2 linked regions of the Alligator mississippiensis genome follow. The protein of the gene in region 1 purifies or fractionates together with the protein of each later gene. This does not show direct contact. Links are inferred from orthologs where the notes say so. Each region holds a gene or a part of one and is shown on either strand. Other genes may lie near its edges.

Region 1 (7,336 bases):
TGCAGCCGAAAGGGTCCTAGGGCAGGTCCACCAGGCTTGTTGACTCCACAACACCACTAGAAGTTATTAACCTGATTGTACAGCAGCGCTGAGCAAACACCCTCTTCTCTTAGTAGTGAGCCAAACTAAATTTGGGGTCTAGACCTAAGCAGGGTGTTTTTGATATTCACATACAAGTCTGATTCTGGAGGGACTTTTTCAAAGGCATCAGTGGGAGGTAAGAGCCCAACTGCCACTTTGAGTTGATGTGAATTGGGTTTCTGAGTGTCTTTTTGTGCCTTTACAAATCTTCCCCCTCTGTAGCTTGGCAAATCTCCAATTTGTACAAATAACCAGTTTCTGACACATAATAGTGCAGGAAGAAAACTAATCATCCCAGCATGCGTTGTGTGATAAACTATTAGGGCTCATCTCATTTTAAACATCCAGGAAAGAAGAATGGAAAGTACCCTGTCAATCTTATGTTTTTTACCCAGCTTGAAATATTCCCACTTAACACAGATATCTCATGAAGTTAGCAGGAGAGATTTTTTTTCTTTTCCTGCTTGCCATTACAATTTGGACCTTTCTGAAATAAATTTCTAGAAACCAAAATGATGAAAAGATGGCTACAGTAATCATATTGATTAATCACTTTTAAAATATGTCATAACTAAACATTAATAGGCTTTCCCTTCCACAAAAATAATGCACTATCTGCTTGCTTTAAGTGTTTTAGATAAGTAACCTGACAACAAAAGGTATTTCTATGATTTTTTTCTCTCTTTTTCTTTTGAAAAGGGAAAGTATTCTCTTTTGAATATTAATTTATATTCTTATAGTCTATCTTGGTAAGGGCTATAAACCAGATGAGCTTCTGAGATAGAAAGTATACAAATCCATGTACTTATATCCTGTTTTGAGCTGCTCTATTCCTCTCAACAAAAGCAGGATATGAGACAGGCATGTTCTTTTGGCAAATATTTTTCAAAGCTATTAACTATTTAAATGAAAATTTCTCTGCATCTACTTCTCCTTGGGTATTGAACCTAGCTTTTGTTCCTATACAAAATATCCAGATTATTCAATGAAATAGATCTGTTGTGACTCAATTTGCATTTTAAATATTGAAATGAAGGTTTTAACATAATGTTGAAGTACTATTGTTATAAAATGGAAAGCATCAGCTGAAAAATATTTCAGTTTGCAGTGCAGTTACATTTCCAAAGCCAAATAAATCTGAGCACTCCATACAGAGCTCAGATTAGCATCAGAGTACTGAGAGTTTATTTTTTGTATTCCAGTTCATTTGTTTTATTGCATGCAACCTCTTTGACTGTTCTCAGTAGGTTGTGGGGAACGGAAACAGAAGAAACCTAGCCTTATGTCCTTTTCTTCTTTAGTTTGCCCCTTGTTTCAGGATTCAAAGCCACCCTTAAAGATACCAAACCTTTTTAAAGCAAGCATTTGTATTGCCGTATTAGTTGTTTTGATTCATAGTATTAATTAACATGTTAAGATTTTGTATATATCTTGAGTTGCTTCTGTTAATAGATTTTCCTAAATTTTCCCCACAAGGAATCACAGGGTAGGTGCTTTTATAAATGTAAATAACAACTACTATAATATCAGCAGTTATAATCAGAAGAGGCAGAAATGAATCAAATAATCCTACTTAAGTTAACTTCAGTAGCAGCCAACTTCAATGCTTTGAATAGCTGAGACTTCTTCAGGTTTTCTCACAAAAGTTCAACCTATTCTGTCTTTTTCCTGAAGCCTTCATTTTTTCCTTTTCTTTATACAGCATTAAACACAGCACAGTAAGGCACTATATCTCCTGACGCATGGACTATAATTTCAACCCAAAAAGATGCATTTATTCATCTCTTATTCATAAACATTTGTCTTTGCAAACTTGTTAGTCAAGGGATCTCCTGTGTAAAACATTATATGCTTATGGCAGCATAAAAACCCTTTCAACTGATGTCTTGTGTCACGGCTTTCTTCATGAAATAACTTACCAGAAAACATGGTAAATTTGGACAGCTGAAAGCCAGAGGTTTCCTAGAGAAATCTATGAGGTTTTTCCCCTAGTTGTTAAATGAGTGTCATACAACTTGAATGATCCAAGGTAACATTTTCAAAAGTGCCTAAACCAATTAGGTGCCTTAGTTTCATTGAAAGTTAGTGGAGATCAGGCTCCTAAAATGCATGATTCACTTTGAAAATAAGACTTAGGAGCATAAGTCACTTAGCTGCTTTTGAAAATGTCACTAAGTCTTTAAAAGTGAACCTCCTGTCATACAGATCTGCCTAGTGGCAGCCAATGAACATAAGAGGTGCTATCCTTTGGTTCTTAGCTCCAACCGTACTACAATTCCACTATTTCATTTTGAACAGAAAAAGAATGCCAAGGACCTATGCAACCTTCATCCAATATGTTTATGTCTAAAAAAAGCAAGATATAACATCGTGTATTCTAGTTCAATGACAAAATATCAAGCCTATTGCTGTCTGTAATGCAACTGGAATCCCTTCTTAAAGGGTCCCCAAGTGCAATTTGTTGCATTGATTTCTGTTTTTCTGTTTTATTGAAAACATCTACTGGCAGCATAATTTGATCATTTTGAACCAAAAGAATCACTTCTTTGAGTCTAAATATTCTTCACAGTCTGGGACCATTAGATGCAGATGTAGAGAAACCGATTCTCCTCTCACTTCAGTGTTAATTGGCAGTAACTCCATTGGTGTCAATAGTTATTCTGCCAGCGATACTGGGCCCCAAGGGTGCTCTAAATACATCTAACATGCAGAACATGAACTTCAGAATCATCAAATAACTTCAAGCCAGTTCCAAAGTGTCAGCTATCTGGGAGGAAAAATTCTTGAAATTAAAAGTAATAATATCCTCTGTCCCTTACCTGATCCCCAGGAGTTGGTGAAGCTTCAGTTTTATCCCAAATTAAGAACATGAAATGAACAATATCCAGAAATCATGAGCACCACTCGGAGAGTGAGGAACAGATATAAAATCAGGATTTAATTTCACTAGGTAATACTGGGAGTGTTCAGCTTTCCAGTCTCCAAGGTTTCCCAGCTGGGGGTCAGCTTTTCCCATCCTGCATCCCTGCATCCTGTTATTGTTACAAACCTTAGTAATGCCAGTGAGAAAAGGGAGTGGAGGAAACAAGATAAACTTAGAGTCATTTTGCTAGACTTGCCTTTCAGAGGGTGTAACAAATACATATCTGAATAAAAGGAAATGGCCTGTAAGAGTAATATAAAGCCAGTGCTGTTATTTAGTATCTTTCTTACTGATCATTTTCATTTTAGGGGTTATTAAAAATCCTAACTTAGCACTTGTTTTTATTTTTATTCTCACTATTTGAAGAGTATGGTCTCCGGCTTATTTTCAGATTTGTTTTCCCATCAGGCAGATGGGAGTGTTTTCGTCTCTCCACCAGGATTATTCCACCACCCACAAAGGCTGAAAGTCCATCAAACAGGAGTTCTTATAAAAAGTTTAAGAGCCAATCTTTGCTAGTGTGAGAGGACTGGGATATATTGAAATTCTGGGATGAGCCGCATGCTGGTCTTGGTAACAGCTGTACAGATTTGATAGATCTGGCTTCAGCAAATCAGAGAACAGAAATTGGTTGCAAGTCTCCAGCCCAGTGCCAACTTCTTTGCCTTGCACTTTATGTAATGATCCCAACCTGTGCATGGTAGACAAAACACTGTTTAGATTTTATGGACTATTCCAGAAGTGGAAGTGATGACCCAAGATGTAAGGCAGTAGAGAGTTGGGCCCCAAGATTCACAAACAAAAAATCTTAGGAGAAGAATCACTGAATAACATGTATTGCCTTCATTGTATTAGAAATTTTCAAGTGGAGGAATTTTTGGGAGAGAGGAAAGGGGAAAAGATCAATGTTCCAAGAGGAGAGCTTGTGTTATGCTAGCCAGCTTGATTTGCTGTTTAATTGCAGACCAATGAGGGTTTAATTTTGGCCTCAGTGACTGCAATGAGTGTTGAAATTCTTGAAATTTAAGGTAGGATATAGACCAGTGAGCTCAGCATGATAAGCAGATGGGCCTTCCTACAGCTCAGGCAGAATGCTGTGATCCTGCTTTTGAACAGCAGAACATGCTTTACTTTTGCTGCAGCTTAAAAACAAAGAATGTCTATACACTATTTTGTATGTTTAAAGGAGGAGGAAATTTTAAATTGACTAATTCAGGAGAAAGTCTAAGAAACACGAGTCAACCCCCCCCCCCCCAAACAAACAAACAAAAAAACAAAAAACAAAAAAACCCCAACAACCCCAAACAACCAAAAAACAAAACCCAACTAATTTTGAGGTGTTGTCACCACATTGTGATGTATGTTGCACATTTGGTGACATTTCTTACGGAAGGCTTTAAATAATAATGATCCAGAGTTAAGTACTCTCACCCCTATTCTTCATCATGACTTAGCACAGGTAATGGGATTGATTTCCTAGCTTTCCAGAAGACTGAGCTTTGGTTACATTACTGCACATTTTTATGACATGCAGCAGCAAAGACAAATGACTGTTTTAAAATTTTGATACATTAATTATTCAGGAAGGTTAAGCAACTAATGAGGGGACATTTTTCAAAACCTTTTTTTAAGGAGACTGATTACAATTAAGTTTCCTTGCAATAAAATAAGCCGCTCCTATTTCATTGCTGAGGAAAAAGAAGAGGGAGAAATGGAAAGGATATTGCTGGGAGGTTCCCAGTGAACTGTAGTTATCTGTGGAGGATAGGCTGGTACCCAGGGCAGACAACAATCCTAGATATCATTTACTTTTGCAAATGATTTCAAGTGTGTTTGACTACTGACGTCCTTTGATCTTGGTATCTGTGGAGAAAACATGCTTGTTAGCTAGCCTAAACCAAGAATGGGGAAAAGAAAAGAGAGCTCATGTTCCTTGATTTAAAAAATATATGCATCTTCTACAATGGTGCTCTTTAGTTCTGCAAGTGCATACAGTTGGATTGCTGTTCTATCAACTTAAGGACCTTAGAGCCTGATATAAAGCGTGTAATGATTTTTCTTTGCCTTTATGGGCTATGAATGAGTCCCATTGTAACAACCTGGTTGTTAGTTAGATTTGATCATCCAGGTCTTTCTTCCCATGCATGTACTAGAACAATAGGTCTGAAAGGCAGCATTGAGATCCATGATTTGGATCAGCCAATTTTTTGTCAAGTCAGTCTTGAGGCCACTGGGATCATTGGGGCACTTTAGATGCTGTAACAACTAGGGCTGTGCAAAATTTCGCCAAGTGTTTTGTTTCGAAGCTGTTTTGACACATTTTGAGCTTGAAACAGTGAAATTGAAATGAAACAAAAAGCATCAAAACAGTTTTGAAATGAAACGAAGGCACTCAAAATCTTTTGCAAGTTTCAAAATGTTTCGAGTTTCGAAGCAGCCCAGTGGTGGGAGGCAGGGGAGAGCCAGGGCTGTGCTCCGAGCGGCTCCGCAACCCCATGTAGCTCAGCCCAGCGGGGAGCGCAGCCCTGGCTCTCTCTGCCTCCCACCACTGGGCTGTGCTCCGTGGGGCTGGTGGAGCTGACCAGAGGGCAGCGCCAGCTCTACCCACCTCCCACCTCTGGGTTGCGCTCTGCTCGGCTCAGCCAGCCCCATTGAGTACAGCTCGGCGCTGGTAGGTGGGCAGAACCAGCTGGCTCCACCAGCCCCACAGAGCACAGCCCCAGCTCTGCCCGCCTCCCACCACTGGACTGTGTTCCGTGGGGCTGCGGAGCTGAATGGAGTGCAGCGCCGGCTCTGCCCACCTCCCGCTGCTGGGCTATGCTCCGATCAGCTCTGCCAGCCCCATGGAGCTCAGCCTGGCAGTGGGAGGTGGAGCACAGCACTGGCTCTGTCCACCTCCTGCTACTGGGCTGCGCTCCATGGAACTGGCGGACCTGATCAGAGTGCAGTGCCGGCTCTCCCCGCCTCCCACTGCCAGGCTGTGCACCAGTCGGCTCCGCCAGCCCCACGGGGCCCAGCCCCACTCTGCCTGCCTCCTGCTGCTGGGCTCTGATCTGTTCTGCCAGCCCCATGGAGCACAGCACTGGCTTTGTTTGCCTTCCTCCTCAGACAAGTGACAGAAGCAATTTTCTCTGGTGGTGGGTGCAGCCTGCACCCAGCGCTGGTCCCAGGTGACAGGGCAGCCTCCTCTCATCTGGGGTGCAGATCTGGAGGCTTCCACCCCCGGGAGGGCTGCCAGGCTGTGCCAGACTCTTCCCATGGGTACGAGCCCCCGGATCTTCACGCTGAATGAGGAGAGACTCAGGCTGCCCAGCACCGGTCCCAGGTGGAAGGGGAAGCCTCCTCTCATCTGGGGTGCAGATCCAGGGGCTCACAGCCCTGGGAGGGCTACAGGGCTGTGCTGGACTCCAGGTGTGCGAGCCCCCAGATCTGTGCTGGATGAGAGGAGACTAAGGCTGCGGCAGCAGCAATTTTATCCAGTGCTGGATGCAGCCTGTGCCCAGTGCCAGTCCCTGATGGGATAGGCAGCCTGAGCCTCCTTTCATCTGGGGTGCAGATCCGGGGGCTTGCACCCCTGGGAGGGCTGCTGGGCTGTGCCAGCCTCCTCCCGGAGGTCCGAGCCCTTGGATCTGCATGCCGGATGAAAGGAGGCTCAGGCTGCCTATCCCATCAGGGACTGGCACTGGGCACAGGCTGCATCCAGCACTGGATAAAATTGCTGCTGCCGCAGCCTGAGTCTCCTCTCATCCTCCACTCTGAGGTTAGTTGAGTTGCTCTGCATCATCGGTGATTCTTTGGGCAAAGTGATCTGGTGGTGCTCATCTCCTCTCCAGGCATGGATGACATTTGGCTCACAGGGATCTCATGCCCTTTGACAGGCCTTGTTTTTAGTTCGCTGGGTGTCCACATCCCTCCTCACCCAGACTAGCCCAGGTTGGGGTGCCAGTTTAGTCGCCGACAACCTGGCCATAGAACAGGCTGTATTGGTTTACGTGGTACCAGATAGTAGACCAAGAGAAGCCTGGCCTGACAGGTCAATTTATTATACTCCTCTGAAAAGTCCTAGCGAGTTTAATGTTTGATGTCTTTATAGACTTTTTCAACCATTGTATGCAATTTAATGGAGAATTAGTTCAGAATTCTGTGGGGTACATGGACTGGATTAGAGAAATATTTCTCGTATAACCCACTTGCATGTCCATAGAACCCTTTCATATTATACTCTGGGTTTCCTCTCCGCTGAATTCTGTCGGACTTTTCTTTAAGAGATAGTGATGACGTGATATGCACTTGGGCATTTTAAGTTAAACATTCTTCTCCAAATAGAAAGCA
Region 2 (7,052 bases), on another chromosome or scaffold:
CAGCCTTGCAGAAAGTCACAGCCCCAATTCTGTAACAAAGAGCATTAGAAGATGACACCAATCCCTCAGGACAAGAGGCACAGAAGGGGGAGGAGGGACAGATATTACCAGATGAAGGTGTTGCCAGTAAGACCTAAAGAAAAATGGCCTGACGAACCCAGGGCCCCCGGCTGTGCAGTTATTCTTTTATTGAGGGAATTTCAGCATCGCTTGTTAGTCAGGGTATCAGGAAGATTTTTTTCAGATCAGAACTGTCCCATTCGCAAGGATGAGCTCCACCCAATAGTTTTGACCCTCCCTAGACATACAATTCACTTCCCTGAAAGAACAAAGGAAGAGGAGGCAAATTAGACAGCAGGAGACAGAGTAGGAAGAGAGATAAGCTAGCCAGGGCAGAGCTAAAATTGTTAAGCCTGGTCTACGTGGAGTTCCCCCTTGCAAATGCACAAAGCCGATCCCTTCGTCCTTCCCACACAGATTAAGATCCTGAGCATCACAGAAAAAAAAAGATTTAAAGTTCAGGATACTCGGCCCTAGCCACCCCCTTCCTTGCTCAGAAGCCCCCAAAGATCTGCATAACCAAAATACTCCCTGCTCCCAACACATAAGAAACCTCCCCTACCCCCTCCTCTGACACAAAGGGAATATTATGATGAGAGAGCAGGGAAGAAAGACAGGACGCTGTCTGTAACACCAGACAACCCTTGTTCTAATGCTAAATGCCTGTCTGATGAGCTATACTCTCTCATTCCCTTGCAAGAGAGCTGCGAGGCTGGCACACAAACTTCCTTTGTTTTGGGGGCAGGAGGGAAAAGCCTCCTAGTTCATGCCTCGCTCAAAGTAGTGACACGCCAGAACCCAGTCAAATGTCTGACATGGGAGGTGAGGAACTGGGGGGGGGTTAGACAGCAATACAAAGCAAACTGAAAGGCTGAGACCCCAAGCCAAGCCTCTCAACACTGTGCTGCTCCTTTACCACAAGACACAATCCTTCTGAAACTACTTTTCAGAGTGCCTTCGATGGTCTTTCCCCACAGATGCCAAAGCATAACCCAGGACTGAAAGGGACCACTCCCAAATAGCCCTAGAAACATTTGCTTGAAGTAGGACAACGTTTTCCTTGTTCTGCTATATCCAAGACCTTGCTGGGGGGAAATGAGGCAGGTGTTTAATTATACAGAATAAGACAAGGGTCTTAAGGGGTCCAGGACCTAGTTTTCTTCACCTAGAAAAATCCCCCCCTACACACACCCCTCCAAGAATCTCTGGCTATGAAATCTAGTCATCTAAGATAAGGCATTACCATCTTAGCACAGCAAAGCGAGAAAAGAAAGCATACCATATTTCCAGAACTGTTACATTAAGCACACACTGCATTCCCTGTAATGATTCTGAATACAGAAGCACAGTCTAGTTCCCTACCCTAGCCTGCCACAATTAAACTGAAACTAGATACTTCTCTTTTTTATGGTGAAATTACAAAATTTAGAGAGGTGGGAAAAAAGACCCCATACTATCACTACCAGGGGATCCTAAACCCTAGTGTGTTGCTTTCATATAACATTCTTAGCAAAACCCAACAAGTCCAAATCACAGCACCATGCCAGACAAAACTACAAGAGCTCAAGGCAGGTTACGGGGAGTATAAGTAGATGTTCTTTTAAATGCCATCTAAATCTTACTACATTGCATTCCTACATTACTGACTCAAGCCTGTTTGCTTACCAAGCTATTTTGATGCATCCCATTTACCAAATGTATATGATCTTTTGAAAGAATTTAAAGGAAGAAAAAAAAATGTACTGTGCTTAAGTTACCACACACTTCAAAAACAGTAAAGTTTTTTTTTTTTTTGGAGGGGGGAAAGAGCGAGCAAGTCAACAAGCAAGTTGTCAATCAGAGCTTGGAATCCTTGAAGGGGCTGGTAGGGAAAAACCTCCTGCATTTATTTCACCCTCCTCTCCTCCCCCCCCAGAAAAAAAAGGAAAAAATCAAGAGGGAAGTTCTCCTTCAACATGGATTCTTTTTAGAAGGTTAAGAGAAAGGTCCCCACCCAACTATACCTGGAAGAAAAAAGGGATCCACCCATGCAGAAAGTGTGGGTCTAAAAAATGTACTGGAGAAAGCAGCTTAACCACACTCCCAGTGAGAATACTTGAAAAGAGAGACCTGACCAAGTTAAAAAAAAAACAACAAAAAAAACAAAACAAAACACAACAACAAAAAACACACCCTGAAATTCTCAGTTTTCCCAAAGTTTTAAAAGAAATATCCTACTTAGTGCAAACAAACTTGAAGCTTCCTTTTTAAACATGACTGAATTCCTTCCCCTAGGAAACATAGGGGATATCTATATATAAATATAGATATATAAATAAAATCAGCCCTCTTGCAACACCGCAGTCCAGGAGTTGTGTATTAGTTTGCATCAGATACACTCACCTCCCCAGAACAGAAATAGTTAAAAAACCAACAGCAGCCACCACCATCATTTAAAACAATAAAAGAACGAAAAGAAAGAAACTAGTCTTACCCTGGCTTTCTCCCCTCTCAAAGTTGCACCAACAAGAGTCTCCAAGTTGGTTTCTCCTCCTTGTATCTTTTTCCCCCGCTCTTCAAAGCAGCAGATTAAGAAATGGAAAGAGGGAGGGGGAGAAGTTGTCAGCCGGGTTATTCCTCTGCCTCCTCTCTTTAATATCTCAGCATGACAATATCCAACAACAACAACAAAAAAAGACCCTGGGTGGAAGCCTTCTTTTCGCCCTTTACAAACACACGCACCACAAAAAAAAGCCACACCAAAGAACTCTAAAGTCGAGTTTCCCAAGAAATCCCTAACAGGAAAACGAGAGCCCAATCCCTGATCAAATGAATTTAAAAAGAGCAAAGCGGCAATCTCTTCTTCCACCTCTCCCTTGCCTGGGATCTTCTCTTCTTTCTTTCTCTCTGGCGGTTTTTTTTTCTTTCCCCTTCTTTCAAGATCCAACACCTAAAATGGAAGTTGCACCCAGCCAAAGGCAAAGCAAGCTGGGTGGTGACAAACTAAGCTTGCCAACCCAACCCCTCTTTCCCTAAGTGATGTCAGCTTCTGCAAAGCTCCAATGGGAAGCAGGCATCAATCAGGGACCCGAAAACATCCAATAGGAAACTTTAGTCTAGGAATTAAAAAAAAAAAAAAAAAAAAAAAAAAGGGGGAAAAAATGAGGAAAAAAAACAAAAAAGGAAAGGTGGAGAGGGGCGCGCGAGAGAGTAAGAAGGGACAGAAAAATAACTTTTTTGGGTGAAGACAACTGAAAACAAAATCAGAGCAGGAAATAAAAAATAGCTGCGAGAAAAGACAAAGCAAACTTGAAAAGATAATCATTAGGGTATAGATGTGGCTCAGCTACCAGCACTCTTCATTTGTCTTTTCTTTCCCTTCTTTCACTCCTCTCTCTGTGTTGGCAAACTCAAATACATATTTGTAGTTGTTTCCTGTGCTCTCCTCCCTCCTTTGCACCCCAAAAGGAGAACGGGAATTGCAAAAAGGAGGGTTGGGAAACATGCTTATAATCAACCGATAAGAGAGGCTGAGATTTGAAATGCAACCTTGATTAGACTACATTTATCTATATGAGCCCAGATTGTGAGAGTTGCCATCAAATCTTGGTTGAGGGGTGGTTTCCTGTTTTATTTCAACCAGAGGTTTTTGCTAGCAATTAAGCACACTGATTTTTGGGTAAAGCAGATTAGGAATTTTCACTCCCTGCTTTCTCCTAAAAAACAGTGAAGAAGAGAGCTCCTTTGATTTGTATTTCTAATTCAGTACAGTTTGTATTACTGTATTGTATTGTATAATTCAATACAATTTCTATTACTAATTCAATACACTTCACAGCTTGTAAATTACATTTACAAACCACCAATTAATACAGAGAGGGAGAAAAATGCTCTAAACTTTTGCATTGTGGCTGTGAAGGATGTTTGCTTTGATTACATTTCTAAGAGTGCCAACCTGTGAGAGAACTAGTGCTATGTGATAGCACTTAGCTAAGTGTGGGAGTTGCTGGGAAGGACTCATGGCTTGAATATTTATGTGAAAATTCAGTTCTAAATAGAGGATTTTTTTATTAGGTGCTTTAGTTTTTATTTAACAATGCACATGGTGGGATGGAATATCAAAAATAGAATTATCATGGACTTCAAGTGGAGCAGGGTCAAGTCTGGATGCTGTGGTTATTGATTCAACCTGTACAGGCCTGACCCTAATATTAACATACCTACACTCTAGTTAGCACCAAGATAGCAATGAAGATTATCACTGTGTAAACAGCCACTAGGCTAAATCTATATATTAAATCAGTAGTTCCCAAAATCTGAGATTGCACACCACCAATTAAAAACAATACAACCTTTAGTACCACTAGCAAATTTTTCAGTTCAAACTTAAGTACCACCAGCAAATTTTTGTCATATAAAGTCATTATAATAAATCTGGTAACGCGTACCACTGACAGGTTGTCTGCGTACCACTGGTGGTACCTGTACCACAGATTTGGAACCGCTGTATTAAATAGTACATGGTGAAATCTCTGAGAGTAATGGATGCTCCATACCTTTAAAGATGAGGTCCTCTATCTGATTCACTGGGCAAATTCCAGATGCTCCTTACTTTCAAGGATAGCAATCCTTTTATTCTCTGGTTTAAGCCCAGGGTGCTCTTCATATTCCACTCGAGAAGCTGGGTAACTGTTGGCAGGAGGAGGGATTCTGTCACTCTAGAGCAGCATTTCTCAACCCATGGGCTGCGACCCAAAAGTGGGTCATGAGAATATATGAAAGGATTACGAACAAACTTTAAAAATGGATTCTCCTTTAAAGAAGAAAAATGTGGGAAAGCGTGGCTTTTCCCTTACAGGCTGACAGAGGTCCAGCCTGCAAGGGGCTGCTTGGGCACCCTGCCCCCCCCCCCCCCCCCCCCAAACACACACACCCTGAGAGGTTACAGTCTGGGGGTGGGGGCAGCCAGTTGGGAGTGAGGGACACTGGGTCAGGACTGGCCATCAAACGTTTACAAATGTGTCCTGGTACAAAAAAGGTTGAGAACCACTGATCTAGAGGAACTTAGACTCTAGGTACTCAAAAGTCTTCTCAGCAAGACTATGCTATCCTGTAGTGTAGGCTAAGCCCCAGTTCAGTGTGGCTCAGGCATGTAACCTGGGCCAGGCTGCTGCCAAATAAGCCCAGGCCATTTAGCATGCAATTCTTGCCTCTATGCAAGCTCAAAAAAAGATCTGCTTGGTACAACTCTGCCTATCTACTGCACTGAAAGTGCAGGGGAAACAGTGAGCGCTCCTGCATAGACTAGCCACATCCATTTTTACCTCTAGATCATGCTCACAGCGAGTCTAGATGACCCAAAGGTAAAATCACCAGTGGTCCACCTACACTCACAAACTTACTCTGTCTAACACCAGGGGAATGCCACCAGGAAAAGGAGCAATGGCAGGAGAATTACAGAAAATCCCTTTTGTAGTCAAGGCTATGTATATTGAAGACCCAAGGTCTGTAAACAAATTAAAATAATCAGCATACATATGATAAACAGAATGATGAGATAAGCATCAGTTTGTGGAGGGACATCTAATTAGGGTGCAGGGATCTCTGTTTGGCCTTGTGCTAATGATATATTTCAGGTAGATCTGGAAGGTATCAGATGTAAACAGCATGCCTATTAAATCAACAGAGGATACAAAGGACACAACACCGCTTCTATTGACTTTAAAGGCACTAAATCAAGAAGTGTTGCAAACATCGCTTTGTCACAGCAAAAAATGTAGAGATCTAGAGAGATTAGAGACATGGGCAGGAAATGACAGCATAAGGTTTAACAAACTGTCAGAAGAAACCTAATTCCAAAATTCAGTGCTGCATGAGATTAATAAAATGAGGAAGCATTAGTGCTTTCAAAGATCTAGGAATGGAAGTCAGTAGTCATTGCTGAAATTAGGCATGAGTTTGGAAGCAAAAGAGGCTGCCATGATTTGGGGCTGAGCACATTACATCAAAGGACAAAAACGTGGCAGCTTCAGCTGCAATTGTGATGTAGCTACATCTTTAATATTAGGATGATTCTTTGGTCCACAATGGCTCCTTTGAACCATTCTGGCTGCTTGTGAATTTGCCAATGATATGGAGTCTGCAGAGTGCTATCACATATATGTTCAAGCCGGCCTCAGAATCAAGAAGACACAAAGGTAACGTGAAGCCACTTTGTCCCCAGCTGTCAGGTTATTTGTCTGCATAATTACGTTCTAGATAATACATTAGCAGAAAGGTGTTGGCAAGCTGGAGGCAGTGGAAGAACGATTGGGAGAGTATGGCTGATTTATGGAGAAAGATTAAAATAAATAAATGTGCATGCCACTGCTAAGCAAGAATGAGGTAGGGGAAATAGGCTACATATATTTGAAATGGGTAATCCCCAGTAGCATTTAAGTACGCTGTTGCTTATGAAACTTTACATCAGGGTAGGTAACCCTTGGCATGGGTGGCAGAGTGTAGCACACAAAGGCATTTTGCTTGGCACGCACACCTCAGGGCGGACAGTGGGGAAGGGGCTGGGGCTGTGCTGCCACAACAAGGATTGCGCTCCTGGCAGCTGCCCCCACCATCCACCCCTAGCACACCATCTTACAAGCCGAGGTTGCTGATGTTTTTGGTGCTCTCCATTGGCATAGGGACAAAAAAAAAATTTGGGGGGGGGGGGGCTGAGCATGTGCACGCGCCCCACTGCAACAGGTAAGTCTGCGAGGGAAGGGTTGGGGGCAGGGAGTGGGGCTGGGGCAGGTGCTGCCCAACTGGGGCAGACCAGGGCACAGGACCTGGGCTGTGGCTCGTCCAGGGGCTGCAGGGAGGCAGTGGAGGGTTCCACCACTGCATGTACCCCGGGAGGGCATGGGGAGTTTGTGCCTCCAGATCTGTGTGAGGCAGGGTGGGCTGCCGCTGCGGGCTGCCCCATGCAGATCCAGGGGCACATGCCCCCATGCCTCCCAGGGTGCACGCAACGGTAG

What was found. Proteins that work in one complex are often made in the same cells at the same time.
Region 2: the proteins of CDH5 (region 1) and CTNND1 purify together in Homo sapiens (affinity purification with western blotting; 3 studies listed by BioGRID and IntAct, counting the BioPlex papers as one, with this or other methods). This does not show direct contact. The link is inferred for Alligator mississippiensis from reciprocal best matches to the Homo sapiens genes CDH5 and CTNND1.

What each region holds. Positions count from the first base shown.
Region 1 is NC_081833.1:63,086,121-63,093,456, forward strand, and holds the start of CDH5 (cadherin-5), read right to left. Parts: upstream 3,084-7,336; 5' UTR 2,901-3,083; intron 1-2,900. UniProt on the Homo sapiens protein: Cadherins are calcium-dependent cell adhesion proteins. They preferentially interact with themselves in a homophilic manner in connecting cells; cadherins may thus contribute to the sorting of heterogeneous cell types.
Region 2 is NC_081825.1:172,458,286-172,465,337, forward strand, and holds the start of CTNND1 (catenin delta-1), read right to left. Parts: upstream 3,049-7,052; 5' UTR 2,909-3,048; exon of another isoform or gene 2,614-2,908; 5' UTR 2,534-2,613; intron 1-2,533. UniProt on the Homo sapiens protein: Key regulator of cell-cell adhesion that associates with and regulates the cell adhesion properties of both C-, E- and N-cadherins, being critical for their surface stability.